3 linked regions of the Pelodiscus sinensis genome follow. The protein of the gene in region 3 interacts with the protein of the main gene of each other region in a pairwise test. Links are inferred from orthologs where the notes say so. Each region holds a gene or a part of one and is shown on either strand. Other genes may lie near its edges. The genes, in order: USP15, BAG5 and MAD1L1.

Evidence for each region.
Region 1: the proteins of MAD1L1 (region 3) and USP15 interact in binary tests that used the Homo sapiens proteins (3 or more experiments, as listed by UniProt). The two-hybrid records come from large-scale screens. The link is inferred for Pelodiscus sinensis from reciprocal best matches to the Homo sapiens genes MAD1L1 and USP15.
Region 2: the proteins of MAD1L1 (region 3) and BAG5 interact in binary tests that used the Homo sapiens proteins (3 or more experiments, as listed by UniProt). The two-hybrid records come from large-scale screens. The link is inferred for Pelodiscus sinensis from reciprocal best matches to the Homo sapiens genes MAD1L1 and BAG5.

What each region holds. Positions count from the first base shown.
Region 1 is NC_134711.1:59,324,489-59,335,168, forward strand, and holds the start of USP15 (ubiquitin carboxyl-terminal hydrolase 15), read left to right. Parts: upstream 1-3,162; 5' UTR 3,163-3,240; coding exon 3,241-3,329; intron 3,330-4,421; exon of another isoform or gene 4,422-4,512; intron 4,513-10,680. UniProt on the Homo sapiens protein: Hydrolase that removes conjugated ubiquitin from target proteins and regulates various pathways such as the TGF-beta receptor signaling, NF-kappa-B and RNF41/NRDP1-PRKN pathways.
Region 2 is NC_134714.1:20,286,991-20,297,670, reverse strand, and holds the start of BAG5 (BAG family molecular chaperone regulator 5), read right to left. Parts: upstream 5,784-10,680; 5' UTR 5,760-5,783; intron 5,579-5,759; coding exon of another isoform or gene 5,450-5,578; exon of another isoform or gene 5,440-5,449; coding exon of another isoform or gene 5,407-5,439; exon of another isoform or gene 5,126-5,406; intron 4,948-5,125; exon of another isoform or gene 4,713-4,947; intron 3,880-4,712; 5' UTR 3,852-3,879; coding exon 2,499-3,851; 3' UTR 1-2,498. Other genes in the region: COA8 (cytochrome c oxidase assembly factor 8), read left to right, coding at 5,450-5,578, 9,193-9,390. UniProt on the Homo sapiens protein: Co-chaperone for HSP/HSP70 proteins. It functions as a nucleotide-exchange factor promoting the release of ADP from HSP70, thereby activating HSP70-mediated protein refolding.
Region 3 is NC_134726.1:28,511,958-28,522,637, forward strand, and holds the start of MAD1L1 (mitotic spindle assembly checkpoint protein MAD1), read right to left. Parts: upstream 6,530-10,680; 5' UTR 6,440-6,529; intron 4,431-6,439; 5' UTR 4,418-4,430; coding exon 4,268-4,417; intron 1,918-4,267; coding exon 1,777-1,917; intron 1-1,776. UniProt on the Homo sapiens protein: Component of the spindle-assembly checkpoint that prevents the onset of anaphase until all chromosomes are properly aligned at the metaphase plate.

The sequences.
Region 1 (10,680 bases), on a different chromosome or scaffold from region 3:
TCCCTTGGTGATATGGCTTCCCCCGTAGGATAGCTCTCTCCTGCGGGCTTGCTGCCTCTAGTGGCCACTTTCAGTATTGCATCCCTTCAAACAGGACCTCCCCTTGCATGTTATAGGAAACAGTCCTGTTCCTGGGCCTTCCGGTTGTCCTGGCACAACCAACCCCCGACCTTGCTTTAAGTTAGGAGAAAAGGAAGCTGAATGCCAAATATGGTAACCCTACCTCTAACTGTTTAGGACAGTGTTTCTTAAATTATGTTCCGTGGCACACCGGTGTGTTGCAAGGCAGTCGGAGTAGTGCCGTGGAGAATAACAGAGTTCAAAATGGCTGCCCTTAAAGGGGTGGGTGACTTTTTTTTTTGCTCAATAACTTTTCCCCCAACCTTTTTTTCCCCTCAATAACTTCCCCCTGACCTTTTTTTTCCTCAAAAAATCCTTGATGTTCCTCATAAAAATAATTATTGTTTGGTGTTAAAAAGTTTAAGAAACAGAAAGACTTGCAGATAGACACACAAAGATGCACTCTAAATTATATATAGAGAAGATTACTTCATATTCATAAAGCATTTGAAGATACAGAATACTGCGTAAGGGCTAAGTATTTATGGAAATATTTTTTAAACATTGTATTACATGTATTAAATAAAATAACCCCAATAACTCTTGAAGAATAGACTTGTTAAAAAAACAACCTCTTTCTCGCATGTAGGAGCTAAATATTAAACAGTTTCATTTTCAGTTATCCTAATTCTTCAGCTGAGACAGAGTTCCAGATCTATTCATTGCAGATCAAATACCCCATCTGACTGTACAACCATGCAATAGGCAGGAAGGTGGAGATTGCTTCCCTTAGTGTTATTACAACAGTCAACTTGATCCCATTACAAGACAAAAATTAACTTTTGTGCAGCCTTGTTACAATCATTAGTTCTCATGCTTCTCAGCTTAGGCTGAATAGGTCATTTATATTAGTTCTAGAATAGCCACCAGCAACAAGCTATGTACTAGGGATGATAAAAAACATTTATTTTTGTAAATATGTAATTGCTGAATTTTTTAGTGGTTACACATTTACATGCAGGGGGTCAGGCACCAGCTGGTGCTCACAGAAAGCAAGTTCCTCATGGGCATGGGCTTCTCCTCACCTTGCTGCGAGGTGAGGGGTTTGTGTAACTGTTAGGATTAACTGGTGAGCTCAGACTTATTGGTTAATTGTGTAAATGAGTACACACTAACATTCCTATTATGTACAAAGACAATATTTCTGTTTATTGAAACAGTTGCTCTTGCCCTTTCTCCCATTTATTCCTCTAAATAGATCATTAAAAAAAAATCTAATCACCAAAACATACCCTAGCTATTTGGAGGGCCACAGCAGCAGCCAAGGACAGTTCAGATATCTTTCTTGTTAGGATTATGATATCATCATCATCATCATCAATAACCATGGGCTCTATACTTGTTGGTGTCCAATGCCTCCCTATTTCCTTCCATCTTTCCCTCTCTAGTGCGGAGTGGCTTAGTTTCTGTAGACTAGCTCCGCACCAATCTACTATATCATCTACCCATTCTCTGTGGGGTCTGCGATATGCTGACCAAAAATGTGTATTTCCTTTCTGTATATTCATTGCTGTTTATTCTTTGAATTTTTTGCAGTTCTCTCCTCAGCAAACAACCTATTCTTGTATACTCAATTATCCACAGTATCCCGGTTTGAACAAGTCTTTAGTAGAATCTACACTACTGAATACATACAGCCAGTCCCCGAGTTGCAACGGTCGAGTTACGGTCGCTTTGTAACTCAAAGGGGTCCGAGTTATGAACAGATCGAGTTACGGCCAAGTGTTTGGCCCGTAACTTGTTCATTACTCTGGGAGAGGCTGTAATTAAAAGTAAGCATATAATACAATAGTAAAGACCATATGCCTAGTGTATACAATATTGAAATACATCTTTATGTAATTCCAGATGCTGCATGTAAATTAACTATTGATTTAAAGACAGACATATGCATATATACATATATACCAGGGCTATTCAACATGTGGCCCGTTTGTTTGCGGCCCGCTGTTGCAGTTTGGGTTAACATGGGGCTCATTTTTTGAGGAGTACAGGATCTTTCAAAAAAGGGTTTTTTTTCCCCTGAAAGAACCACATCTAGACATCGATTTTACTTTCAAAAAGCCCTTTTTCGAAAGACTACCGCCATTATACAAATGAAGCACGGGAAATTCAAATCCAGGCTTCATTTGCAATTTGTATCTGTCTAATTTTCATCCCTCTTTTGAAAGAGTGATGTAGCTTAGACATAGCCTGAAAGTCCCAGGTTATGTGGGGGAGAGGTCTTTTATTGGACCCACGATGTCAGTGAGAGAGACACTTGCCAGGCCTGGAAAAGGCGCCTGCCTTTGTTGGCCAGAGATTTTGAGACTGCCCCAGGAAACGTGTCTATCTCTCCATGCCAACAGACTAGCATGCAGTAAGAGACACCGCCTCACCCCACTGGGCTCTGGGGCTTTGCTGCCAGGATAGCGGGGTACTTTACGCTGGCAGGTGGCGCTCCCCGTCCTGCCCCAGACTGGCAGCTCTTTTTTCTCCACCCGAGGGGGTCTTCTGCGAGACCTCTCAGAGCTGCCGGAGTTCTACCAGGAACTCCTCCAGACTTGGAAGCTGTTCTCGGCAACCAGGTCCATTGTGACCATTGTAGGGAATAATTCTGGACACTCTGGATGCAGGTGAAAAAAAGTCAGAGGATTTATTACACACTCAGCGCTGGCGGAGTGACAACCAGGGGTTAACCTGGTGAACACTGGTTAAGCAAAACATTACAGTAGATTATATAGGCGGCAGATGGACAGAGGAGAAGCAATTTGATAGGGTCTGGAGGCAAGACGAAATGAGCACGTAAGCCAATAAACTACAAAGGTTACATAGCATCTCCGCGACGCAGGGCCAGGCGCACGCGGCTTGGAAGAGTCCAGACCTGTGATAGCGGCGCGTCCCCGCTCCCTCTCGCCTGCTCCTCCCCCCGTCACACCCCGCCACAGGCGGAGCGGAGCCCGCCAGCCCGCCAGAGGGCAGCAGCGGCTCCCCGCGCCCGCAGGTCACGCGCGGTCTCCCCTCTTGTCTCCGCCTCCCTGTTGCGGTGGCGAGGGCGTCTCCCAGTTGGCGTCACTCCCAGCATGCAGCGCGGCCCGCTCCTGCCCCTGCTGCCGCCGCCACCGCCGCCGGGGGGAGAAGATGGCGGAGGGAGGCGCGGCGGATCTGGAGACCCAGCGCTCGGACGTCGCGGCGCTGCTTAAAACCGCCCTGCGCAAGGGCGACACCTGGTGAGGGAGGGGCGGGGGGCGGCGTTGGGCCCTGGGGCGAGCGGGTTCCCACCCTGGGGCCGCTGCGCTGTGGGAGGTGGAGAGGGGCCGATAGGCTCCCTGCTGGTAACGGGGCGGGCCGGGCCCTGCACCCACCCACCCTCCCCGGGGGGTGGCGCCCGCGGCTTCAGGGGACAGCGGGGCTCGGGAGCGGCTGAGGCCGAGCTGCAGGTGAAGGTGGGGGCGGGGCCGCGTTGGCCAGCGGCGCTGACTCTTCCTGTGTCCATGAAGTCTGCCTCGGCATGGTCCGAGCTGCCAGGGCCCTGCGGCTGCCCGGAGCAGGTAGCTCCCGCCGCTCTGGCCCGAGCCCAGCTGGGCATGCGGGGGAGTTCCGTGTGGCCAGGACAATGAAGGGCCTGGGATTGCCGGGCGTTTGGCCGGCGCCGGGAAGGGGGCGATGAGCAGAGCTCGGTCCCTCCCTTCCCCCCGGCAGGTACCTGTTCCATTATTCAAACATAAACCAGGGAAATGGCCCCACCTGCCCTTTCGGGTAGCGACAGGTTTCATATTTGCCAAGCGGAGCATCCCAAAAAACCTTTCCCCCAGTCATGCTAGGCCTCGGGTCAAGCTTATCACTCCATAGCGTGAAGCCTCTGAAGGTGCTAGCAGACAGTGCTGTTTAATTGTAACTTTAATCTGTTCTTGTGTTCAGATGTCTTGTATCTTTAGGTTTCAGTTTTTTAATTGACAGGAGATCATACAAACTGCCTCATGCTTATGAAGCATGAAACAGATCTAGTAATTCCTTTTATTTGCTTGGTGTTCAGTTACAGGGAATTCTCAGATTCCTGGTTCCTAGAAACCGTCTCCTGAGTAAGATAACTTGAAAAATTCTTAGTACTTCCAGGAGGACTAATATCTTCCCTCCCATTCACACTCCTACCCACGCCCTGAAGTGTCACAAATTTAGATTTACTTAAAAGTAAGTGTGATCCTTAGAAATAGACCACCTACATCATTTTGACTTAATATGTCACCACTTGCTGTTCTAATTCTGTAAGATATGGTATTTAATGGTGGTGCTGCTAGAACATGTGTCAGAGCCATACATACATTCTGATGCATTATTCAAATGCTGATGAGTAGATATTCGTTTCTTGGCATAAGAACAAGTTGGTTTTAAACTCTGCAAAAGTAGAAGCATCTAGAAAAAAGGGAGCCAAGTATAATTAACATATTAATACTGAAAATAAGAAATAAGTTTGGGTCAGACCAAAGGTCTGTCCAGCCCAGTACCTTGTCTGCCAACAGTGGCTAATGCCAGGTGTCCTAGAGGGAGTGAATCGAACAGGTAATGATCAAGCGATCTCTCTCCTGCCATCCATCTCCACCCTCTGACAAATAGAGGCTAGAGACACCATTCCTTACCCATACGGCTAATAGCCATTTATGGACTTAACCTCCATGAATTTATCTAGTTCTCTTTAAACCCTGTTATAGTCCTAGCCTTCACAGCCTCCTCAGGCAAGGAGTTCCACAGATTGACTATGCGGTGTGTGAAGTAGAACTTCCTTTTATTTGTTTTAAACCTGCTGCCCATTAGTTTCATTTGGTGGCCCCTAGTTCATATATTATGGGAACAAGAGATGATTAATAGTGTTCTGTTTTGAAAGGGATTATCACTGTGACCAGTGTTTCTTGTTTAAGTGCAAGGAATTACACTCAAACCAGTAGTTTCTTCCATTTTGAATACTGTTAACAGTGGCCATTGTCTTGCTGCAGAATAGGAGGATAAAACAGTAAGTTTAACAAAAGTCGACTTTTGAACATGTTCAAAAAATTCTGTTGACTTAGATAAGTGTAAAGGGGCAGCCACTGTTGTTGTTTTTGCAGATACAGACTAAGTCCTGTGGCAACTTAAAAACTAACAGATTTATTTGTGCATAAGCTTTTGTGAGTAAAAACCACTTTGTCAGATGCATGGAATGGAAATGTATTTGATAGATATTAGTATAACGGTGTGGTCAAAATGGTTGTACAGGTTGAATCTAGTGCAGCGCTCTTGGGACCTGACCAGTGCTGAGCCAGAGAATTTGTGGAACCATGGGAAGTCAATATTTTCTAGCAGCAATACCAACACTCCCACTGCTTACTGGGCTCTTAGAAAACATTTAGGGGTAAATTAGAGCTAAATAACAGCACAGAAAATTGAGAGCCGGGACCAGTGGAGATAAACGTACTGCAGGAAATTTGGCCATACCCATGATATGTGGACATCTGGCTAACTAAAATCACTCTGGACCAGAGAGGTTCAACTATATTTTCTTCTGTATATAATATCAGACACTAGGTCTGAAATTTAGTATGATTGTAAAACTTCTGCAAAAAAACTGCTTATTTTAAGAGGCAGAGCAAGTATAAAAATGGATATGAACCTCTTACTGACATCAAGTGTTCAAATAGTAATATAGTAAGTTGGTAGGTTTTACGAAACAAGGTTACCTTTATAGTATTTCATAATAAGACTGGGTAGTAGCTTCTTTAGCATTGTTATAAGCAAGAAAGTAGGTCTGAAGCAAGCAGCATATCACAATTCAGAACTTTGGTAGTCATTCATACAAAAGAAAGTTATGCTGACAAAAAATGCATGCCAACTTCTATTCTAACTTACTTTGCTCAGGGTTAATGACTGGTTTACTCTGGCTAGCATATCTATATGTGCTGATAGTACTACGTGGCTACGTCTACACTGGCCCCTTTTCCGAAAGGGGCATGCTAATTTTACAGGTCGTTATAGGGAAATCCGCGGGGGATTTAAATATCCCCCGCGGCATTTAAATAAAAATGTCTGCCGCTTTTTTCCGGCTTGTAGAAAAGCCGGAAAAGAGCGTCTACACTGGCCCCGATCCTCCGGAAAAGGGCTTCAAAGTAGGAATCCTTCAAAGTAGGAATAAGAGAGCCTCCGGAAAAGGGCTTTTTTCCGGAGGATCGGGGCCAGTGTAGACGCTCTTTTCCGGCTTTTCTACAAGCCGGAAAAAAGTGGCGGACATTTTTATTTAAATGCCACGGGGGATATTTAAATCCCCCGCGGATTTCCCTATTACGACCTGTAAAATTAGCATGCCCCTTTCGGAAAAGGGGCCAGTGTAGACGTAGCCCATGTGATAAATATGTTTGGCATTTCAATGTACGTATTATTGAGCAGTAGTATAGCAGTTATGCATCCTTGATTGGCCTGTACCCTTGTTAAAATCCTATACATTTATGCTGAAGTAAACCTTTCCTTGAATACCTAGGAAAACTAATTATAGGACATATAGGGCAAGAGGAAAGGAAAGAAATTATCCATACAAACCAAGAGGGTACCTGGAATGCATTTGCTCTGAACAAAGATAAGGGTATGTCATTACGTAGTATGCATGGGTTCAGAATAAAAGATCAAGTGTTCACCATAGTACCAGAAATAAGGCAAAAAGTTGATTACATCCTGTTTTCGGTGACACAGGAGGGGTGGGTGAGATTCTGTGGCCTGTACTGTGCAGGGGGTCAGACTAGATGATCATAATGGTCCCCTCTGACCTTAAAGTCTATGAGTCTATATGAATGAGAGAGCGAGAGAGACATACAAACTTTTTAACAGGTAAATGTGTTGGTATACTGGTCTGGCTCCGGAGGGAGTTCAAGCTGCCTCACTACAAGGAAGCAGACTGAGTTAGTAGTCCTGCTTCAGGCTGGAGCTGCAACAGTTTGGCTAGTCCAGCCCATGTTTGGGCAGAACAACTGTCAAGATGCCCTAGTTCAGAGGGCCCTGGTGCCGGGGGCCTATATTCCAGCTGAACAGAAGTAAATCGGAGCAGCTTGGGCCTCTGCCCAGAACAGCAGTCAATCAGAGCAGCTTGGGCCTCTGCACAGATTGAGCGCCAGTTAGTATGCCCTTGGCCTAGCTCAGGGTGGGGCCACAAACAGCAGGCTCAGGCTTGTGTACAGGTTGAGTAATGGTCAGTAAGCCCATAACCTTGTTCAGGGTCGGGTGAGGAGCAGTGCAAGGAGTTCAAGCTAGGGTTCAGGCCTTAGTTCAGGGCAGGGCAGCAACAGGTTCAGGGTACTCGGCCTGTGTGCAGGCAGAGCAGGGTGGATAAAATCAGTGATTTTTTAAAAATAAAAAAATCATATTTTTTATTTAATTCACATTTTTTTAATAAAATGCTTTTTGAGGAAAATAATATCCCAAGATAGCTTTGAGCTAACACATACCTTAATTAAAACTATCTCATGGAATAGGGATTATGAATTCTAATTCTATAATATGTAACAATTAAGGAAAGTTTTGTAAATGAGTTCCAATAGTTCATGGATTAGGGACCCAATCTGATAAGGTCCAGAGGCTTCTGTATAGATCATTTAGGTTAATTTTTCTATTTACCCAATGGGGCTAATCTAGAAGATAACCTCAGAGATGCTTAGTTTTTCAGTTCTCAAACTGTGGATTTCATAGAATACTAGAACCTCGGAAGGGACCTCGAGAGGTCATCGAGTTCAGTCCCCTGCCCTCACTGCGGAACCAAACACCATCTAGATCATTCCTGAAAGATGTCTATCTAAACTATTCATAAATAACTCCAATCATGGAGATTTCACAACCTCCTTAGGCAATTTATTCCAGTGTTTAACCACTCTGGCAATTAGGAAGCTTTTCCTAATATCATAACTAAATCTTCCCATGCTGCTGCTTGTGTTATCAGAGATCAAGGATAAATTTTTTTCTCCCTGCTCCTTATACTGCCCTTTTTGGTACTTGAAAATTATCATGTTCCTTCTCAGTCTTCTCTGTGTCACGCTGCTGCTTTGAAATGCTGGGTGGAGCCCAAGATCATCTGGGGACTCCCCTGCTAGACCCAGGCTGTGCCAGCTTTGAAATATACAAGAGTCCCCAGAAGGGGCTCTTGTGCATTTCAAAGTGGAAGCACCCGCATGGAGCCTGGAGTCAGCGGGACTTCCCGCTGGCCCTGTGCTCCACGCAGCGTTCTGCCTTTGAAATGCACAAGATCCCTCACTGGGTCTCTTGTACATTTCAAAGGCAGAATGCAGAAGTGCTTATGGACTAGTTGATGAGCAAATTAATTGCTACTTAACATCCCTACCGAGAATCATATTTGCTTTTTTTGGCAACAGTGTCACACTGGTGACTCATATTTAGCTTGTGGTTCTTTATGACCCTTAGATCTTTCTGCAGTACACCTTCCTAGAGATTTGCTTCCCATTCTGTATGTGTGAAACTGATTGTTCCTTCCTAAGTGCAGTACTTTGCATTTGTCCTGATTAAACTTCATCCTGTTTACCACCAATCATTTCTCCTGTTTGTCCAGATCATTTTTAATCATGACCCTAATCTCCAAAGCACTTGCAACCTCTCTCTGCCAATATCTAAATCGCTGATGAAGACACTGAACAGAACCAGTTCCAAAACTTACCCCTGCGGAACCCCCACTTGTTATGCGGTTCCAGCATGAGTGTGAACCTTAATTACTACTCTCTGAGAAGAGTAATCCAGACAGTTATACACCCACCTTACAGTAGCCCCATCTAGGTTGTATTTCTCTGATATTTTGTGGATAAGGTCATGTGAGATCATGTCAAATGCCTTACTAAAGTCTAGGTATACCACTTCTTCTGCTTCTCCCTTATCCAGAGGACTTGTTTTCCTATCAAAGAAAGCTATCAGATTAGTTTGACATGATTGGTTCTTTACAAATCCATGCTGGCTGTTGTGTATCACCTTATTTTCCAGATGTTTGCAGATGAATTCCTTATTTATTTGCTCCATTATCTTTCTTAGCAAAGAAGTTAAGCTGATTATTCTGTAGTTTCCTGGGTTGATCTTCTTTCCCTTTTTATAGCTGGGCGCTCTATATTTGCCCTTTTCCTGTCTTCTGGGATCTCCCCCAACTTCCGTGATTTTTCAAAGATGATAGCTAAAGGCTCAGATACCTCCTCTATCAGCTCCGTGAATACTCTAGGCTGCATTTCATCAGACCCTGGTGACTTGAAAACATCTAACTAAGTAATTTTTAACTTGTTCTTTTTCTGGTTTAACTTTTAAGCCTATCCCATTTCTACTAGCATTTACTATGTTAGGCATTCAGCCACCATCAGTCTGCTTGATGAAAACGAAAACAAAGAAGTCGTTAAGCACCTCTGCTATTTCAAGTTTTCTGTTGTTGTTTTCCCCTCTTCTCTGATCAGTGTGCTTTCCCTGTCCTTGGTCTTCCTTGTGCTTCTAATATATTTGTAGAATGTTTCCTTGTTACCCATTATGTCTCTAGCTAGATTTAACTCGTTTTATGTCTTTGCCTTTCTAATCTTGCTCCATGTCTTGCTTCTAATCTTACTCATGTTATTTGCTTATATTCATCCTGTGTAATTTGACCTAGTTTCCACTTTTATAGAACTCCTTTTTTATTATTAGATCATGCATGATCTCCTGGTTAAAGCAAGCTGGTTTCTTGCCATACTTTCTATCTTTCCTACGCAGTGTAATAGTTTGCTTTTGGGCCCTTAATAATGTCCCTTTGAAAAAGTGTCAGCTGTATTCACATGTTTTTCCTATTAGTTTTACTTCCCATGGAATCTTCCCTACTTGCTCTCTGAGTTTACTAAAGTTTACCTTCCTGAAATCCATTGTCTTTATTTTTCTGTTCTCCCTTTTACCATTCCTTAGAATCATGAACTCTATAATTTCATGATCACTTTCACGCAAGTTGCCATCCACTTTCAAATTTTCAACCAGTTCCTCCCTATTTGTTAAAATCAATCTAGAGCAGGTTTCCCCCCCCATTAGTTTTCTTAACTTTCTGAAATAAATAATTGTCTCCAATGTATTTTGAGAACTTGTTGGATAATCTCTGCCCTGCTGTGTTAATTTCCCAATTATGTCTGGATAGTTGAAGTCTCCCATTATCACCAAATCCTGTGCTTTGGATAATTTCGTTGTTTAAAAAAAGCCTCATCCACTTCTTCTCCTTGAATAGGTGGTGTGAAATAGACCCCCTAGCATGACATCTTAATCTAAATCAGAGATTCTCAACAAGTCTGTATCAGTCTCACTTCAAGTTAGGGATGTTAGATAGAGTGTAATTGAATAGTTGTATAACTGCATTAAATTTTAGTGGTTGCACAACTCTTCAATAGTCCCTGGAGGTGGGGCCGGCAGCTAGTGCACTCCCATTCCCGGGGAGCCCCACTGCCACAGGGTGGCAGGTGGGAACTGGTTAGTGAGGGGAGCTGCTTTAAAAACTGGCCTTCCCATGCAGACCAGTTCCTTCCTGCTGTCCCCTACTGCTGCCCGCCCCCCATGGATCCAAGGCTGCTGCCG
Region 2 (10,680 bases), on a different chromosome or scaffold from region 3:
TTCATGCAGAAACTGCTTACAAATACTGCACCGATTAGGAACTCCACAACTTTTAAATGCTGCACATTTACCTCATGAGCAGAAGATGATTAAAGCTAAAAGCCAAGTTAACACAGTATGTTGGTATGGGAATCTACTGAGTTAATCATTATTCAACCACTCTGATGCATTTTCCTTTTTAGAGATTCAGTCTTTCACAAAAGCTAAGATAAGCAAATCTTAAATGGAAAGAAATATAAAGTATCTTATTTACCTTTACAGAAAAAAATCAGAAATGCTAAAAAGTTTCACATGACCTACAGAGGAATATGAATATTTTGATTTTTTTTTTTAAAACAAGGGCTGTACATCTAACAATTGAAGAGACCCGACAGTAACAATTATCATAGGAGTTAAATATAATAAACATTATCCAACTGTTACATGTCACATATTACAAATGCATATTAGAAATTATATCTACAATTAAAGTACTTCCCAGAGTTTTAAATTACCTTTATAAATATGAACAAAATAATTCAGATGTGTAATACCATTAGTAATTTGTGTTAGCCAATAAAATAGGAAATGCAAAAATAGACTGAAATTACAGTTCAACTCAGATGTGATTTAAAGAAAAAGAGAAGCAGTGTGGGTACTAGTAAGGCCCTGCATTAATTGAAACAAACAAGGAGAAGTATCCAAATAATGCATCATCAGTATTGGGCTATGACATATTGACTATAGTTAATTAAAGAAATCATTGATAAATGATTTGCAAAGAAGTCAACAGAACAAAAAAAAAATCAGTTAATCAAAATAAATCACTTTGAAAGTATATAGCTCTTTTCATCTAGAGATTTCAAAGCACTTTATAAAAAGGTAAGTAAACATTATTATCCCCTTCTTACAATCTGAGGTGTGGCTGTCTTGTCCAAAGTCACTAAGCAAATCATTGTGTGGGGTTGGGAACAAAATCTGAACTTCCTGAGTGAAAGTCCCACTTTCAAATCTCTAGTCATAACTGACTCCTAAAATATCACTTTATTTAATTTGATGTGTATTATAGCTGAATAGTAAATAGAAAAATCCAGTTGGTAGAGATAACTAAATGCAGCATGCTGCCATTAGACAAAGAGTTCCTTTATATGTAACAATATAATTTTAGGGTGTCAGTAAAAGGCACTTATCTCACAAAAATATTTTCTCTAATGTGTATTAATATATATCCAATATTTATTGTAGTCAGTGTAATATCTGAAATTTACACTTGTTAAAACGTTGCAAATAAATAACCCTCTACAAAGCAATAACTCTAACATGAAAGGAGCTCTGTGGGAAACAACACATTTTGGACCCATTATTCCATTTAGAGCAGCATTCTGTGTAATACCAAAATATGATAGCGTAGAATTATGATACTGGCAACTAAATTCCTATATCCACAAAGAAGAGGAAAGCGCATGCAGAAATATGATCTGGTTTACTTAACAAGCTGCAGGGCTAACCTAACTGCTACTGAGTTGAAAGAAAAGACAACAAGCAAGCCTTTTCTGAGTCTTATGTTTGAGATTACATGGCCAGTGTGAAATGTAACATACATTACGAACAATTTGTGATGAACTGTATTTACATGGTTAAATCAGAAATACCCATTGACTTAAGTCATTTTAAAGTGATTTTCATTCTCACTGGTTGTTTTAGAAGACTCATCAAATCCAGATCCAAAAACTGAGTTATATTATAGCTAAATGGCAAATAAAGATAGTTCAATGCAGTTTTCAGGGATTTATGGATGGCAGTATAAAGAAAAAAATCTCTCATTTATCTAATCAATATCTGTCTTTCAAGTCTCATAGCTACCTTCCAATAAGAGGACAGTCTGAACTTGAGGGATTCTTTCCTAGATGCCCAGTGCCACAAGAAAATGGACACAACCAAGTCATTCTATATTACAATACTGCTACATTATAAAACTAAAAACACATTAAGGTGAAATGGATGGAACCAAATCAAAAACAAATGAAAAGCCAACCTTTTATATTTAATCTTTTGATTAGAACAATACATTATAAATATGTCAATGCTGGTGTAAAGCTGATGGATCTAACCTTGCATTTGGCCAATAATCTTAAATTTCCAGTCTTCTTTTCATTGTTTTTCTAGTACTGTATCTTAAGTAAATTCCTGCATCTTTGAGAAACATGCTTTTTTGAAGAAAAACCAAACAGTTTGACCAAATATTACAGATTCTGATACTTATGCAATTCCTCAAGAAAACCATCTCTCTCACATAACATAGTGACCAAAATGGAAAAAACGGTGTACTGACAATTGTCATGGCAAGTGGGCAAAAATGTGGGATAGCTGCCATATATTCAAGCCAACTATTTACATCATCTCCACAATTCGAGCGAATATAAAAACACAACTTTTAATCATGTGCTGTTCATGGGAGCTATCAGTCTACATAAAGTGCAAAAAAGGAAAGCAACACCTTACATGAGGCCACTATTTTCCTAGTACTCCCATTCATCTGTTTTCATGTCTAGATAGTAAAGAATATTCTGTGCAAGCTTTACTGCCTGCTTTCTGGCAACTTTAGACCGTTCATCTCCTTGTGGATCAACAGCATCAAGTGTCAGAAGTTGCTTAGTGAGGAGCTCTTCTAGTCTCATATAGTTCTTATCAGTTCGGTTTCCATCAAAAGACAGCACTTCCCTCTGAATCTGAGACAAATGTTCAAGAACACTCCAGACTGCCTTATGGGAGTGGTGTTCTACAACAGTTTGTTCACCATACAATTTCCTTTTTTCAAGTGCTTCTTTTAAATCAATGTATGTTATAAGAGTTTGCACTTCTATCACTGCTCTTCTCCTGGCTTCTCTGATGCATGGGTTCTTTCCTGGACTCACTTCATCCAAGTGGGCAATTAAACCTTGAAGTTCTGCCTTGGATCCCAAGAACAGATCAGAAGCATTTTCTGCTCTGAAAATTAAAGAATGAACTTCTTTCATTTTTTTGCGGATCTCTTCTATTTTTAGAATGGATTGATTTTGTGCCAAGTCATAAGCATGAGCAGAGTCTGCTTCCTCTTCCAAATCCAGGTATTTCTGTAATTTATTAATCTCTTCCACCACTTCCTTTCTGTAATTTCTTATTTCTGTGTGGCCACAAACATCCAACGCATCCAAATCAGCAACCAGACCAGTAAGCACACAGGATAAATGCCTGCAAGTCTCATTATTATTTACTCCCATTAAGACTGCAATAAGAGTACCCCTCGCTTTGTTTACATCACACATAATAGAGTTAATTTTTGAGACTGAAGGATGTGCATCACTGGAGAGTGGCAAGGAAGGTTGCTGTTTTATACAGTTTTCTATAATCTCTTGAATTGCACACACTTTTGTCAGAGTGCGGTATCTTGCTTTCCGTAGCGAGATTTTTCCTCCAGTTTTCACTTGAGTAAGTCTCAATACAATATCCTGAATACCCTCTTCAAATTCATCAGTTATACAGTTGCCACCTTTATAAAAAGGTGTGATTTCACGTTCCACCAATGACTGAGCTTCCTTATATATGGCCTCTATTTCCAGTCTGTGTGGATGGTTTGCATTCTGCTCCAATTCTTTGAGTAGTCTTTCTGTTTCCTGGGCTGCTCGTTTTCTGGCTTGCTGAATATCCCCTTTTCCTTCAGTATCTACAGAATCTATTTCAAAAAGTTGTTTAGTCAGAGTCCTCTCCAGTTTCTTGTAATCCCTGTCAGAAGACAGGCCACTGAAAATCACCACCTGCTGTTCAATATCTCTGACTTCTTTCTGTATTTCTTGAAGCCTTTTGATGGAAGGGTGTTGGTTACCCATATCCATTATCTTATTTCCTCCAGTTTCAAATGAGCTGTAAAGGAGGCAAGAATGACTGATAAATTTTTAAACAAATATTTCATAATTCCAACAACTTTTATAAAGCCTCATGACACTAAAATATTTAATAAATTAACTTGACTTAAAGGTACAGAGAATGTACGAGAAAGTTAAAAAGAGTGACGCACTTAACTTCAAACCATACAGTATGTCACTGTTCTTTTGTACATCTCTCTCTAATGATGTCTGCAAGCTCCTATTAAATGATATACACTTGAACTTACACAGCTAGAAGTTTTTATTCACTCTCAGAGCTATAATGTTTACAATCAATGCAGAAAAATGGGTTATTTCAATAATGAAGAAAATTAAGGAGGCAACCTCCAATTCTTAATTTAGTGCAAGATTCCCCCCCAACTGGTAAATACTCCCCTCTCAATCACTTGCATTACTCAAAATAGGGATTATAACACTGCTGAGGCAACTAATGTTGTCAACACTTTGTGCCCATATCTATGTACCCTCAGCAAATCTAACCAGCCTTCTCCCCCATCCAGCATCCTTTGTCTGTCTACACCACCTGGCACCCTTCTCCCACATTAAACTACCCCTAAACACTTCTGCACCTCATCCAGGGCCCTTCATCCACACCCCTCGGCCCTTCACTAATCTCTCTCACGTTCCCCTCTTCGCCTTTCATCGCTTTTTTCAGCCCATTTGAGGCCCCCTCTTCCTTCCACCACCACCTGCCTGTCCTCAAGCAGCGACCACAACCATCCCCAGTACCGCGGCCCCTGCATACGATAGAGATGCGGAGTTGGCCCTGAGGTCTCCAGCCCCCACCGCAGCATGAAGGACGGCGCCTACCCTAGCCAGCAGCCTTGGAGGAAGACAATCCCCTGGAGCAGGCCCCGATCCCCCCCGGAGCCCGGGCTCGCTACATCCCTGCAGGAGGAGCCTGGATCCGCCGGGCCGCGCCACCAGCAGGGGATGACTTCACAATGGGGGCGTCCCGGGGGAACGGAGAGCGCGTGCCGGAGCCCGGGGGCGGCACCGAGCGGGGGCCTCAGGCGGCTGAGAGCGTCTCCTTTATCGCAGAGCCCCGCCCCCCCGCGGAGACCCCCCCCGCCTCCCCTCCCCCGTCCTCCATATCCCCAGGGCCCCGGCACCCAGGCCCTCTTCCCCGCCAACTCCCCATCATCAGCTGCCCCCACTCTCCAGGCAGCCAACCCCCCCGCCCCCCAACCAGCTCAGCTTCCCTCCGAGCCCCCGCCCCTCACCTGGCCCGACAGGCGCTGTTCTCCCCCCGTCCCCGACAGAACTTGGGTCCCCCCGGCGGGCCCCTCCAACCGGCCTGTACCGCGGGCCAAACGGCGGCTATCCCGAGCCCGGGAACCCCAGCCCGCCCTCACCCGGCGGGGGCCGCAGAGGGAAGAGCGCGGCGGGTGACCGGAGCTGCGCAGCCAAGAGACTGAGCCGCTCTCCCGGGTTCCCGGAGGCCGCAGCTTGCGCCGCCTGCCGCACCTCAGGGAGAAGTTTCGGGCGGCCCTCCCTTTGCGACATGGCCGTAAAGCCGCCGCCAGCGGGGAGGCGGGTGAGGCGCGATGGCGGGCGCAGCGCCTCGAGTGGGGCGTTGGTGGCTCGGCTCGCGCCGCGGCTTCTCCCGAGCAGGGGGCGGCGCGGGGCGCCTGGCCGCTGAGGGGCCCGTGCGCGGCCACAAGCCGGAGAGCCCGGTAAACAGGCGGAGGGTGCGGGGCAGGCTTCCCTGAGGCCGGGGCTGCGGTGGTTAGCGCTGGGAACTCGAGGTCCTGCCCCGTGTTTTGGGGCAGGGAGAGCCCGCCCCGCCTGGGCTGCGTTGAGGTCCAGTGGGCGCCGAGTTGCGGGGATCCCAATGGGCAGAGCGGGCGGACAAACCTCTAGCTCTTTTTCAGGAGGGCGGCCTCCCCCTTTGCCTCTGGCGTCATGCAATTGGCCCTGGGGACCCGCGGGGAGCCCCATTGTCCATCATGTTGGGTACAGGTTTGGGGCTCTCCTGGGTGCAAGCTGGGGACTGGGCATTAGTACAACCCACATGCCTGCTGGGTGTGGTTCGCTGGTGTAGTGACACTTAGACTACTTACAGAGAGAATAATGAGTTTCCTCTATTAAGGATATGTGACTAGTTGTTTCTCTCCCCCTGCCCTCTATCAGAGAGAGGCAGAAAAGGGGGGGGGGAGCAGGAGCTGGTGCTGGGGAGAGCCATCTTAAAAGCTGATCTCCCCCCCCCCCCCCCAGCACCATCTGGAGAGGGGAGGAGGGGAGGCAAAGGTGCAGCAAGGAAACTCTGCAAGCAGGGACTGCTGCTGATGGTCCTGACTGCTCCATCTTTGAAATGTACAAGAGCCCTAGGCACTCTTGTACATTTCAAAGGCAGCTGTGTAGCAGGATAGGGAGTGCCTGACTAATGGAGCAGTGGATGGAAATTCTATCAACTGACTTTTCTGTGGGTCAGTGGCCCTCAACCCAAAAAAAGGTTCCCCTCCCCTTTTGAGATTCCTGTAGTAAGCTCCACAAGTCCCATGTTTGGTTCTGTCACTGTTACATTAGGACTCATATGCTTTGTTCCCTTTTCTGGTTGGCAGTGAATCTACCAGACACTTAGAGCCTGGACTCCTGGGCTGCATCTAGACTGACAAGTTTTTCTGCTTTTGCGGAAAAATTTGCCAGCTGTCTATACTGGCTGCTTGAATTTCCGCAAGAACACTGACGATCTCATGTAAGGTTCAGTGTTCTTGCGGAAATACAATGCTGCTCCCATTCAGGCAAAAGCCCTCTTGCGCAAATGCTTTTGCGCAAGAGGGCCCATGTAGACAACGCAGTATTGTTTAGCGCAAAAAAGCCCCAATGGCGAAAATAGCGATCGGGGCTTTCTTGCGCAAAACTGCGTCTAGATTGGCACAGACGCTTTTCCGCAAAAAGTGCTTTTGCGGAAAAGCGTCCGTGCCAATCTAGACACTCTTTTCTCCAAATGCTTTTAACAGAAAAACTTTTCCGTTAAAAGCATTTGCGGAAAATCATGCCAGTCTAGACATAGCCCTGGATTCTTTTCCTGGTTCTGAGGAGGAGATGTTGGGGGGACAGAGCTGGAGCCAGGAATCTAGGGCTATATTTTCCCTGGGTTATCATGTCTCCCTGTATTACCTGGGCTTCTCTCTGTCAGCATCTCATTAACTCATGATAGGATTTTACTTGAATTTCCTGTTAAATTGTTTGAATAGGTTTTGTTAGAAAAATGTTAATAGCCTGTAGTTGACCATTTTCCAAGGGTCACAAGGAAGTCTCATTAAATCTCATTTCCAGCTCTTTATTTCTATGTGGTTCTTTATTAGCAAATAAATTAATGCGTTGCTTGGGAAACATTAAGGTCTGGTGGAACCAGCAATCAATTTGGAATCAGACCTGGTAGACTCTTAATACATTTAAAAAGGAGAAGCACAGTGAGGGAAGGGGGGGGCAGTGTGAGCCAGGAATAAGCTTTGCCAGCTTGGGTGGAGGGGTCTACTGTTGTGCATCAGCCTTTTAAATGTATTAAGAACCTCCTGGCTCTTAATACATTTAAAAGGCTGTGTACAGCACTGGGGACTCAGGGCGAGTCAGGACAGCTGGGCTCATGCCAGTCCCCACAGTCCTTCTGCCCCCCATGGAGACCAAGTGCTGAGGGGAACCAGCTTTTAAGCCAGCTCCCCACAGCACTGGCTCTTGCTGCCTCTAATAGAGGAGGAGGGTCTAGTTGCTTATATCCCTAACAGGGGTGGCTTAGATAATGATTAGTCTTGCCTCATGTAAAGGATTGGATTAAATAACTTCTTTATTTCCCTTCCTGCCCTATGTTTCTATGATTCTGTTAAAATATACAAAGTAAATATCCTTAAATTGAGCTGTAGTAAGTTCTCAAGCAACATTTTTCTTCCTTTGGATATTTATAAAATTCATTATTGATGGAAATATTTTTTAATTGGTGTGTGTGTATATGTTGAAAGTGATGTTTACTGACATTACCACCAAAGATCCAGTCCTTCCAAGCCTATTTATATTGTAATCCAACTCTAGACAATTACTACATTATCACACAAATAGAGGCTAGAGTTTGAGAATCTTTATACAAGCTGAATTTCCTCAGAATATTAGAATTAGGAAAAAAAAAGTTCTAAATGTTGATTTGACAAGACCCTAGGTTTAGAATTTTTTTTCTAAACGCAGTCCAGGGATTACCTATTCATTCCTTTCTTTAAAGATAGAACATCAGATTAGGGACTCAGTCTAAGTATTTATACATCTACTTAACTTTATGCATTGTGTGTTGTCCCCATGTAGCAACCACATATGATTGCTAGTTCACCTGCCTATGAGCTATAGCTAAGATTTATAAATGCAGAAATAAAAATGTGGTGTTTAATAACTTTGTTCCTTTTAAAGTTTAAAAATGCTGCTGGTGGTAGTAGTAGCAGACAGTAATTTATAGTGTGATATGCCTTGTCTTTTATGTGAGAATGGTTTATGTACTTCAGAATGCTTTTTTGACATAAATATCACCCAGGTGCTGTAGATTGAGGAACTTGCAATACAGAGAAGATAGGTTACTTGTCCAAAATAAAAAAAGTGAATTATTAACAGTTAGTAGCCTGGAGTTCTCCTTACCCCACTGGTTAATACTTCTTTTGTGTACTCTTACAAGCATACACAAGCAAAGAATAAATTACAAAGACACCAGCAAATGAAAATATATATGAGGCTCATCCTGTACACAAGTCTCCTATGCTGCCATCAAATGCATGAATACACCAGTCTGTCCAGGACATGAAGTGAAAGTGTGATCTAATGGTTTCTTTGTGTGTCCCAAAGTCACTTGTACCTCTCTGACAGATTGCGCGCTCTCTCTCTCTCTCTCTCTCTCTAGATATATACACACACACACACACACACACGGCTTGACAAATCACACTCACACACACACACACACGGCTTGACAAATCACTGAATCTATCGTCACAGGCGAGTAGATTTCAGCCGGTCGCCCCGTTCACCAGCAGCACATGCATGCGCAGTGCGGGGCTGGCAAGTAGGTTTCGCTGCCGTTTGTCAAGCCGTGTGTGTGTGTGTGTGTGTGTGTGTGTGTGTATATATATATAAATTAGTGGTGTAAAGTTAAATCAAAATAGCTTGAACTCTCACAACTTTTATGTTTTCATGATTGTATTTTAAGGTTTGACTCAGCTGTGTAAAACATTGTACTTTTTAAAGAAATGCTCTGATTAAATTTAAAAAAAAGAATTAAATATGTGGGGTGTTTTTGTTTTGTTTTTTAAAGGCTTCAAGTTTCTGCCCGCCAGCATGTTCTTGCAATGATTGGATTGGTCCTCCTGACAGACATTCAAATCTCCGACCAATAATATTTCATATTCCTAAAAATGAATCACCATTAGAACGAAAACTTAGAGAATTTAGACAGGAAACTCAAATTTGGAATCAACAATTCTGGGCAAGTCAGAATATGTCATTCAGAAAGGTGAGCATGTTGATACTAGGCCACTTAGTGGTGGTGCTGTGTTTACTTAAGAACTTGTGGTGTAAATAGCTGATAAAAACATTATTCTCCTTGTCTGGGTGAAAGGTTTTTCACAATTGCATTGTATAGTGACCTTGAACTGTGATAGTTTTGAATTATATAGCGGTTCAGAATATTTGCAAGCACTACAACTAATTGTTACCTTTAAAAATGGTTAAATTATGTGGTTTTGCAATTATTTATCTCTTGATTTTAAACTGATTTCAGTATGATAGTGTGTTTTGCTATTAAATTTATTTATCTATACTGAGGAGTGCAATTAAAAATGAGCTGCCTAACTTTTTGCTGCTTGTTTTTTAAATTAGAAATATACAGTTGTGACAGTCCTCTTTTCTGGAGGATCTGGAATGTGAGATTAGAGCTGGTTATTGAAAACTGAACTACTGTTCTAACACTAGGGTAAGTGGAACAGGCATAGATGCAATCACTGAGGGGGAAACTGATGGACATATCTCCACTCCTCAACTTTACTGTTCCATTGATGTGTTTCTAATACAAGTTGAACCTAGGGATGTGAAAGGTTAACTGGTACGCATCACCCTTAATAAATGATGCTTAGCAAGTTCCAGTTAACTGGTGAGGACTGGAGCATCTCTCCACCTGCCGTGGGGGCTGCTACAGCTCTGCAGTCCTGAAGGTACCAGACGAGAGGTTCAACCTGTAAGACTAAAAGCAATGCATTTCACTCCTGGTCCCTCTTTCCTTATGTGGGTAGAAAAAGCTAAATTCTAGGTTGGGGGAGGACCAACTCAGCTATTTACCTCCAGTTGTGATGAAAATGATTTCTTTTTTTTTAAAGGTAGAAGAAAATAGTTCGTTTTTTTTAATTAGAAAAAGTAGCAGTCAGTTAAAAAAAACATTCAATTAAGTAATTATGAATTTATTTTAAAATGCTTATGATCTCTCTGTGAATTCAACCATAATGTGCATAAAGAAACAAGAGGTCAGAAGCAGATGTATATGCCTTATTTATTACTTACAGTGTAAGTGTAACCTTGGGTGGGCTAGACTTCAGTTGCATAAGATCCTGATGATGTCATCACAGCTGAAGGTAGATAGCTGAGTTCTCTTCCAACATGTGAATACATTTACTTACATGAGCCGTCCCATTTACTTCAGTGGGCTGTTTGCATGAATACATTTATACACATGCCTAAGAGTTCACAGGATTGGGTTTAAATGATTGTTTCCTGAAGAGGATCCAGTTAACTGGTTATTGGTTTAAACTTC
Region 3 (10,680 bases):
AACCCTCTTTCGAAAGCTCCTTTCTTCCTTGTGGAACAAGGAATACAGGGGTTTCTGAAAGAGCACAACTGCTCTTCCGCAAAAAAAAAGTGGAAGAGCAAACCCATTCCCTGGACGTAGCGGAGTTTTTTTGGGATACCACTGGTATCCCAGAAAACCCCCTGCAGGCTAGCCATCCCCCCCCCCCCCCCCCAGTAGAAAAGCTAATATCTTACTGGCAGCTTTTCAATGACAAGGGAATGAAACAAAGGGTAATGAAGCCAAAGAATTACTAGACAGCACTTTCTGAAGTGATGTATGAACTTAAAACTCAGAGATGGCTTCATGGTTTGCACAGCATAATTTACATGTGCTCAAACATCAATTACACTTACACAAGTTTATTTCACTGAGTCTGGGACCTTAATATCTGGAGTAACAAAATCCGTTTCTCTTTGAAATTTCTATGTGCATTAGAGTATTTTAAATCTAAATATTTTAATCTTAAATAAGTAACTCTTAAAGACACAGTATAAACCAGTGTTTCTCAACCAGTGGTACGAGTACCCTTAGGGGTACTTGAGAGAAGTCTGGGGAGGTATGTCAACACAACTGAAATGTGGAGAAAACTGAATTTTTGTTTTAAGTTTTACAGTGCTTTAAAATTTCACCGCCCAGCTACGATTAAGTTGTTTAAACAAATGTGTTGCAATGGTAGGAAAAAAAAAGTGTGTCTGAAAACTGTAGGTACTTTATAAAAAAGGGGGGATACTTTATAAACAAAGGTTGAGAAACACTGATATAAATAATCAGTGCAATGAAACCACCAACATATGGGAGTAGATTTAGGAGTTGGCAACTGTGGGAGGGGGAGTGTTCAGCCAGATTATTTTATTGGCATTCTGACAACATTTCACATGCCATTTCAAGTTTGTTTCTCTCTCAAATTGAGTAGCACTTACTGAAAAATATAAATAAATTTCTCTGCTAAATCAAAGCAATTTGGGCCACAGATTTACATGCTAAGCAAGAATTATGCAAGACAACACAAGATTCCTGAAACCTTTATCCACATGACTCATGAAACACTGAATTTGAGCATGGTAATACCACTCTGCTGAGTTAGTGCTGCTCCCTTTTTGTACCAGTATTTTAAGGGTTTCTGAGAGTGACTCAGCTAGATTCAGGTTTGAACCACTCCTGGCTTAATCCCAAGATCACGTGACTTGAAGCAGAACTAGGAATTTACTCAATGACCCACTATTTCACAGCTATAGAATAAATCTATCTTTCAGAATCCTTATAATATTTTGCCAGATTTATTTTTTTATTTATTTTAGCAGATGAATTTTGAAGAGGCACTAAGAGGATGACACAGCCCACAAACTGTGCTGCTTATTTTAGCAACATAACGAAGCAAACACATTTGGGCACACAACCAGAAGGCAACAAAAGCTATTAGTCACAACTAAAGCTCAGCATCTTATCAATGCAGCTTCTCTGTATGACAGTCACATGACTGGTGTTATCATTCCAGTTCATTACAGTCAAACATACTAATTGTTTGCAATTGTGCCAATAAAGTTTAAACACTTCTGAAATAATCAAAGTGTAATGCAATAGACCTGAATCTCCTTTTGTTTTATACTGATGAGCAGAGTGCTAAATAAACAAACTTACAGAGTATCCAGTGGTCAGATCAACATCAGACTATCTGTCAGCCATGCAACAGTTTCAATGATCTCAAGATGCTATGACTGGAGCCTTGGCTGCCAGACAGCACGAATGCTTACCTACCTCATAACTCCTGGCATTAGTATTAGCTGCCTTCTCCAGCTCAATGCGAGCTCTTTTGTGGCTCAGCTCCATCTGCATCTTCTCCCGTTCCACTTGCAAGAGCTGAGATTTGGAATGAATCTGCTCAGCTTGTTCCTCTAACTGATCAGTTTCCACGTGAAGATAGACACAAAAACACACAATCAGCAGAACAGCAATGATACTTTTCATTTTTACAGTGCTCTCCAGATTTGGCTTTCAAATTATTTTACAAACTTTATATATTTAACCCTTCATGTCATAGATGGGCGCAGGTAAGTATTGTCCTACCCATTTAGAAGATGGGAAAACTGAGGACCAAGAGTTAAATGACATGTCCAAGGCCACAAAGTCAATCAGTGACAGCTGAGAATAGACATGTGGGTGAACTTTGAGGTCCAAATTTCCCACACCAATCACTGGAGAAGTTTGCTTCTAGAATACACTTACAACACACAAAACTAAAAAAAGATTCTTATTTCAGATTTCTTTGGCCTTTTCAAAAAAGAAACAGGAGCTAGCCAAGGAACAGAGATCAGGCCCAATACCTACATCTGGGAAACTAAGTGTAGAGCAAAGTACCAGGTCTGACATACATGTTACAACCAAATTTTATTTCTGAGAATGCATTGTGTGTGCAAAATTACTACCAGGACTCCTGTTAATTCCTTCAGTGCTGTGAGGATGCACAGAATACTTTGTCTTTATAACCAGGGCTCGACAAATAATGTAATCTACTTGCGCATGCACAGAGAGCAGAACCGCGCGGCTGGCGAGCCCTGTTTATAACACATTAATACTTCTTCCATGTTAAATCAGAATCCTAAATCAGAACATATTTTCACTGAAGACTTTACAACACAGAAAAAAAAAGACTAAGGACATTCAAATATTATAGTTCAGGGGTGGCCAACCTGTGGCTCCAGAGCCACATGCGGCTCTTCAGAAGTTAATATGCGGCTCCTTGCATAGGTACCAAATCCAGGACTGGAGCTACAGGTGCCAACTTTCCACTGGGCTGGAGGGTGCTCACTGTTCAACCCCCAGCTCTGCCCTAGGCGCTGTCCACCTAGGATCCTGCCACTTCCTACTCTCTCCACTGAGCCTGTCACACTCATGCTTCCCTCCTCCAGTGTCTCCCACTGAGAAAGAGCAGATCACAGTGGGCAGGAGGAAAAGGAGAAGGAGGGACTGACCAGTGGGTGGGATGTGCTGAGAGCGGTGTGGAGATATGATCAGGGCTGTGATATATAAGCAGCTCTTTGGCAATGTGCATTGGTAAATTCTGGCTCCTTCTCAGGTTTAGGCTGGTCACCCCTGTTATAGTCAGAATGTTGAGGGAGTGGAGAAAGGAATGTCAAGCATCCCAGGGGTTAAAGAAACCTCTGGGCTCAGCTAGCCCCACCTCACTTTACCTGCAAGGATGCTAGGCCTAGAAGGAGGAGAAAAGGAAGGAACATGGCTCAGTTTGGAGCTGACTAAAGTGAGGAGGCAGGAGCTTGGTTTGTGGGTCTGAGGGCATGAACCAGATCCTGTCCATCCAGCAGCCATGGGAACAAGTAAGCCCCCACCCCTCTGGGAAAAGGGAGAACATATTGAGAAACTGAAACTGTAAGAAGAATTTGGACTCTTGAATCCATTTCCCAGACTGAAACAGGGAATGGCTTGGGAGTTCCTGGGCCAGAAACACAGTGGTAAGAGGGCCAGCTTCCCTCCCCCTTTTCTGCCCACCTACTCAGCAACCTAGCTAATAGGTTACCAAGTCCCCAGGGACCCAGCCACACAATTTTAAATGCAATGGAAATTTAAATAAAGATACCAAGGCCTTACTTTACACTCAGACACATAATTAGAGATCCATAACAAAGCTACAAAACTCAAAACTTGTGTAAGACATCTTGGACATTGCTAAAGTGTCCATCGCTATAGCATCCATGAAGACTGGTTTAGTAAATTAAAATTTATGCTTCAAAGACTACAATTCTGGTCCAGATTGAGGTCCCCAATAGAATTAATTTGGTGATCTCAATTCAGTCCTCAGAGTCAATATCATAAAAATGCCATGGATAGTTTAGCACACCTAACAGTATGTTTTCAAGAAAGAAATGGACAAGGCAGGAAAAACTGACCATCACCCCGAGCAAACCATCAGTTAAGCTCAGTCATGGGGGCAAGATGAAATCAAAATACAGCTGCCTAAGTTGACCTACAGATAAGTTAAAGGGAGAGAATTGAAGAAAACCAATTGAATACTGACCAGGACAAAGAGTCAGGCCCATAACTTACTTTTTTCTTAAATGAATGGGTTTAAGAGTTTTATTTTGGGAGCAAATTGTCTCCATCATTGGCAATGTTGGGATAGCAATGTAAGAAAGGACAGCCTCTGTTTCTTAACTAAAAAAATTCCCATGCCTGATATCAAAATAAATCTAAATTCTTAACTCCAGGTGTGAATGAACCAGGGATGTCTCACCTGAACCCTCTGCTGGTACTGCATATGCAAGGTACTTGGAAGTGATCCTGGTGCAGCCAGACTAGATGCCCCCTCCACACGCTGTGAAATGAAGTTGTTGAGAGATCGCAAGGCAGAGAACACAGTTGTATTGTCCTCTGAGTTCTCCATGGTGAGCTCTCTGCTGTAAAACACAGACACACAAAGGCAAAAGTGAAACATCCAGGGCAATCTTATTCACCGCTATAACATCAGGTAAGCATACCCCCTTCTTCAAGTCATTCTGAAAAAGCATTTCTCAAATACAGCCACAAGAAGGTTTTTTTAGAATTTATTTTGCATCCACAATAGCTTCTACAGCATAGAAGGGCAAAGCAGAGTATGGGGACAAAAGCAGCAGTTCCTCCTTGCAGCGCCCAATTGTTGCTCCTGGGCAGCAAAATGTGCCGCTTTCATGTTTACACTGGCACTGCCAGTAGGGAGCATTGTCCTGCACAGCACAACCTCCTCAGGGGCTCGAGGAAGTGCCTCTGGAGACACAGTGCATGCAGCTCTTAGTTTCTGGGATGCTCCTCCAGGTAGCTTTCCCACTGCTGCCCAGGAAACCTGGGACACTGCACACAGTTGGTGAGTTCATGACCCACTTTCCCAGATGGCAGAAATAGAGAGACAGGTTTGCCAGGGCAGCCACCAGCAAGAGTTGGTGGCTGCACTCTGAGGTCACCACAAATTTTATTGTGAAAACCCCTGCTCGAGTCCACATTCTTCTCATATACATTGGGCCCTGCCAAATTCATGGGTGTGAAAAACTGCAACACAGACTATGAAATTTGACTATCGTAGGGGTGTCATGATATTGCCACACTTACTTCTGCCCTGCCTTCAGAGTAATGGCTGCTAGGCGGGCATCCAGTTCTAAAGGCAGTGTTGCCACTAGCAGCAGTTAAGAATTAAGAGTGGTATGGTATGGAGGTCACCACCATAAGAACATAAGAACATAAGAACGGACGTACTGGGTCAGACCAAAGGTCCATCTAGCCCAGTATCCTGTCTGCCAACAGTGGCCAGCACCAGGTGCCCCAGAGAGGGTGGACCGAAGACTATGATCAAGCGATTTGTCTCCTGCCATCCCTCTCCAGCCTCTGACAACAGAGGCCAAGGACACCATTTTATCCCCTGGCTAATAGCCTTTTATGGACCTATCCTCCATGAAATTATCTAGCTTCTCTTTAAACTCTATTATAGTCCTAGCCTTCACAGCCTCCTCTGGCAAGGAGTTCCACAGGTTGACAACACGCTGTGTGAAGAAGAACTTTCTTTTATTAGTTTTAAACCTGCTCCCCATTAATTTCATTTGGTGTCCTCTAGTTCTTCTATTTAGGGAACTAATAAATAACTTTTCTTTATCGGCCCTCTCCACACCGCTCATGATTTTATATACCTCTATCATATCCCCCCCTCAGTCTCCTCTTTTCTAAACTGAAAAGTCCCAGTCGCTTTAACCTCTCCTCATATTTCCCTCTAATACTTCACATCCCTCAGCAGAATGAATTTTGTTATGTGCACCAATCTGGAAGCGATGTGTCCACCCCTCCCCAGGACATGGCAGATTGGAGACCGGGTTAAATTGGGGCAGGGCTGTTCCCCTGAGGGATGAGGTTCTGTGCCCGAGGTGAAGGGGCAGGACCCTGTACAGATGCCCACGTGAGGCAGGGCCCTGCCTTGCTGCCCCAGGTGGGTACAGTATTGGGTGGATGGGGCCCTGCGCTGCTCCCCGGGAGAAGAGGGGGAATTCCACAGGGGGCCGTGTCCTGCTGCCGCCCCAGGGGAGAGTCGCTGGGGGTGTCTGGTGAGGCTCAGCGCCAGCGAGGGGGACCCTACGGTGCTGCTGCTCCCCTGGGATCCCACCTGGCTGCCCCGGCTGGGGAGGGTCAGTGTTGGGGGCGGGACCCTCTGCTGCTGCCCCCCCCCCAGGAGTCAGTGTGAGGGAGGGGCCCTGCCGCGCTGCCCCAGAGGGAACAGGGGGAGGGGCGCTGCCTGAGGGGGGGTCAGGGTCAGAGCGCGGGACCCCGACGGGAGGGGGGGGTGTCAGGGCGGGAAGACGCCTGTGCTGCCACGGAACTGCAGGGCGGAGCCGAGCCAATCCGATTACCGCCCGGGGCGCGAGACAGCGCGCGGGTCTCTCGCACTCACCCACAGCAGCCGGCTCCCCGCCTCCTGCTTGGATCTCCCTCCTCGTCCTGCCCCGAGATCTCACGAGAACTCGAACCCAGCTCCCGCGAGACGAACCTTCCCGCCCCGCCTCCTCCCCCCCGACGCACACACTTTACCGTAATATTCGGGTTATACGTGCGTCCAGGGGTAGCTCCGTGGTCCTCTTACCGCTAGGCGCATGCACAAAGTTCCTATTTCCCCAGTGTGGTAGAGTAAAAACTGACGGTGCCATGGCAACGCTGTATCTGGGAGGATGATTTTGTGATTCAGACCCTGGAGTAGGAGTTGAGACACCGGGTTCCAGTTTCAACTCTGCCAGAGCAAGTCTGTCTGACCAGCTTGCTCAGGCTGTGGTTGTTCAGTATAGGGACGAGTCGACTGTCCCATAAGCAAATGCTTATCCAATAGTTGACAGGATAGTTGACTAGTTGATTCCTCCCCTTGCTGTCTCTATGAGGTAGAGGTAGCAAGGGGGAAAGAAGAGGAAGCACTTCAAAGCAGCAGTGCTGCTTGAAGCCGGGGGGCCAGACCCTGGACTCCATGCAGCACTGCCGCTTTGAAAAGCCACGTGCAATTGGGGGCCATCTGGAATGTCCCCAGGCTGCATGTGGCATTTTAAAGTGGCAACACCACATGGAGCCCGGGATCAGCTGGGGACTCCCCAGCTGACCCCCAGTTCTGTGTAGTGCTGCCACTTTGAAATGCCATGGGAAGCCCAGCATTGGGCTGCACGCAGATTTTCAAAGCAGTTAACTGACCCCACGCTCTGCAGCGCTGCCGCTTTGCAACACTGCAGAGAGTCTGATACCCCGGCATCTGGATTTCTTTTTGGGCTTCTAAGCTCTAGTGCAATATAAATGTTTACAAAGTAGTGATTCTAATAAGAGACACATCCTTTACAGAAAGGACATGAGGGCACACTGCCAGTGACCATCCCTTCTCCAACAAGGCGGGAGGCACCATACTAGAAGTTATGTTGTCAACATACAGGAGAGTGAGTAACCCACCCAATCCATCCAGATCTTCACAACTCCTGACCATAGTGACAACAATGCCTACATGCCACTTATTGCACTGTGCAGTTTCCTCTATTGGATTGAACCAGGGCACTTGCAGATTTTCTTCACCTGCCACTTCTTCACAGACAGAAATATCAGGAGGGACTCCTAGGATGATACACACCACAGGCTGCACCTACGGGCAGCCAGACCTGATCACATATTCTCTACTAAGCTTTCAAAGCAAAGTGCTACCACAGACTAACAACTTCAGTAGCAAATATAACTGTGTCTACATTGGATTTGAAGTCAGTGACCAGCATTACTGCTGTCAGGAGTAGGCAAATATGCTCAAGGTTCACTATGGGCAGTGGAAAACAAAAAAGCCTAAAGGGAATGAAGAACCTTTTTAAGCTCCTGGTGCTGTCCCTCTGTAAGCAGATAAAGAATTTATGAATTCTCACTTCCATTTTCTTTCCTCGGGCTTGGTATGCAATTGCACCTTTGCCCCTTCTGACTAGAACTGATGAATATGAAGGTGGGAAACTCAGCAATTCACTAAAGAATTAACTAAAAAAAAGAATTAAGGATGCCCACTGCTAGCTTGAGCCACACTAGAGAGAGGGTGTAGTTTAATCAAACCATGTGTTTAAGCAAAAGTCCAAAATACATTACAGTAACTAAAATATATACCTTGTAAACTTCCTTGCAATGCTAAACTGGGATTCCCAGTTACGCTTCCACTGTGTGTACAAGTGATTCTGACCAGCTCTCTCCTGATGCTGCATGAGAGAGTCTCCAGCACTTTGCTTTCGTTGGGGTTCAGTAGCCTAGAATTCTAATTTCAGAAAAAGTCCTGCTCAGCTCAGATAGAAGCATACCAGATGAAAACAGTCTTCGGGGAATTTAGCTACCAAGCTCTAACAGGGCTCAACTCAGCACATGCAAAAACTGATTTTTCAGAGGCTTGTTGAGCTGGTTAAATGTGGTTGGATTGTCATGCGGACAACAAAAGGCATATCCATGACAAGAAAGCTACTCTTCTTATAAGCTTCAAGACCTTGCTCCAAAGCCTGAGCACAACAGATCTTCTCAAAGAATAAGTCACCCAACATTTTTAAGACAGGCAAACATGCATTTTCCTAGCCTCTCTCTTAGAAACAGTTTAACCACTTCAGCCTAAGGCAGATAGTTGGCATGGAAATTTTCAGCCCATATAGTTATTTGGCACAATGTGCTAATAAATTGCACTTTTAGGAAAAATTCAGAAGTAAAACTGAATGATAGCTGCCTTCTCTTCAGTATCATGACAGCTGCGTTGCATTTAGTTCAAAGTATAACTATGATCACAAAGTAGAAATCTGAAACACACACATGTACACAAATCTTTAAGTAGTGTTTTATTTTTATTCCCATCCCCCACGGGCAGGTTTTATACATAAGAATGGCCATACTGGGTCAGACCAAAGGTCCACCTAGCCCAACATCCTCTCTGCTGACAGTGGCCAATGCCATGTGCCCCAAAGAGAATGAAAAGAACAGAATCGTCAAGTGATCCATTTCCTGTTGCCCATTTCAAGCTTCTGACAAACAGAGGCTACAGCACAGGCAGTTGGTGAAGGTAGGGCTGGGGGAGGCAAGCCCTCAGCCCCATCCCCAGCCTCGCACCTTCGGCTGAGGTCCTTCACATCCATAGGAGCCAAGCCACCTCCTCACAGCCCCACCATGGGGAAGCAGGGCAGCATGCTGTGCGCGCCTACCACCACCACAGGGAAGAAGACAGTGGGTGCGCACTGTTGTGTAAAACCTCCGCCCAAGCTGGTATAATGTGGATGTAAGACATGTAATTTTCTGTTATTGTAAGTCAGGTAACTTTGTTATTTTAAGTCGTCAGCTTCAGCCATTGCAAGTCCCAAAACTTTCTATTGTACGCCATGTAACTCTCAACTATTCTAAGTTATATCAGTTTCTATTGCAAGCCATGTAATTTTCAAGTAATGTTTCAAGTTCTGCAACCTCTTTGCAAGCTTTGTAACTTCCAGCTATTGCTTATATAATCTTTAAGCTCTGTAACATTCTATCCTGTGACAAGGGAGTGCATGGATATGTGTAAGTGGTAAGAGAGTGTAAATAGGGTTATGTCTGCACCTTTGTGGAGAGGAGCCATGAGGCTACAGACTTGAAGCCAGGGGCTAGGTGGGGTCTGATGTAGTCTTTGCTTGCACGTGAGAAAGACAAGAATGGAGGTGCAGCGAAGATGAGAAAAAGGAATTAATATGCATGAGGAAAATGAGGTCAGGTGGGCCTCTTGGGCTAAGTCTAGTCTTCAGGCTTCTTTCGGAACAAACTTTTCCGAAAGAGATCTGCCGAAAAACTTCTTCCAAAAGAGAGTGTCTACACATAAAAGAATAGTGATAGAAATGTAGCCGTGTTAGTCTGGGGTAGTTGAAGCAAAATGCAGGACAATGTAGCACTTTAAAGACTAACAAGATGGTTTATTAGATGATGAGCTTTCGTGGGCCAGACCCACTTCCTCAGATCAAATAGTGGAAGAAAGTAGTCACAACCATATATACCAAAGGATACAATTAAAAAAAATGAACAAATATGAAAAGGACAAATCACATTGCAGAACAGAAGGGGGATGCGGGGGGGTGGGAAGGGGGAGGAAGGAAGGTAAGTGTCTGTGAATTGCTGATATTAAAGGTAGGGAGAGTGGGATGTTTGTGAGTTAATGGTATTACAGGTGATAATTGGGGAAACTGTCTTGGTAATGGGTGAGAAAGTTCAAAGTCTTGTTAAGTCCTTGGTGATAAGTGTCGAATTTTAACATGAATGACAGTTCAGAGGATTCCCTTTCAAGTGCAGATGTAAAAGGTCTTTGTAGCAGAATGCAGGTGGCTAAGTCATTTAGAGAGTGTCCTTTCTGGTTAAAGTGGCAAGAAACTGTTTTCTCTTTGTGATCTTGTCTGATATCTGTTTTGTGGGCATTAATCCTTTGGCGAAGTGTCTGAGATGTTTGTCCAATGTACATAGCAGACGGACACTTTCGGCACATGATAGCATAGATTATATTTCTGGATGCGCAGGAATATGTGTTCTTGATCTTATAACTTACTTGGTTAGGTCCAATAATGGTATCAGCAGAATGAATATGTGGACAAAGCTGGCAACGGGGTTTGTTGCCAGCTTTGTCCACATATTCATTCTGCTGATACCATT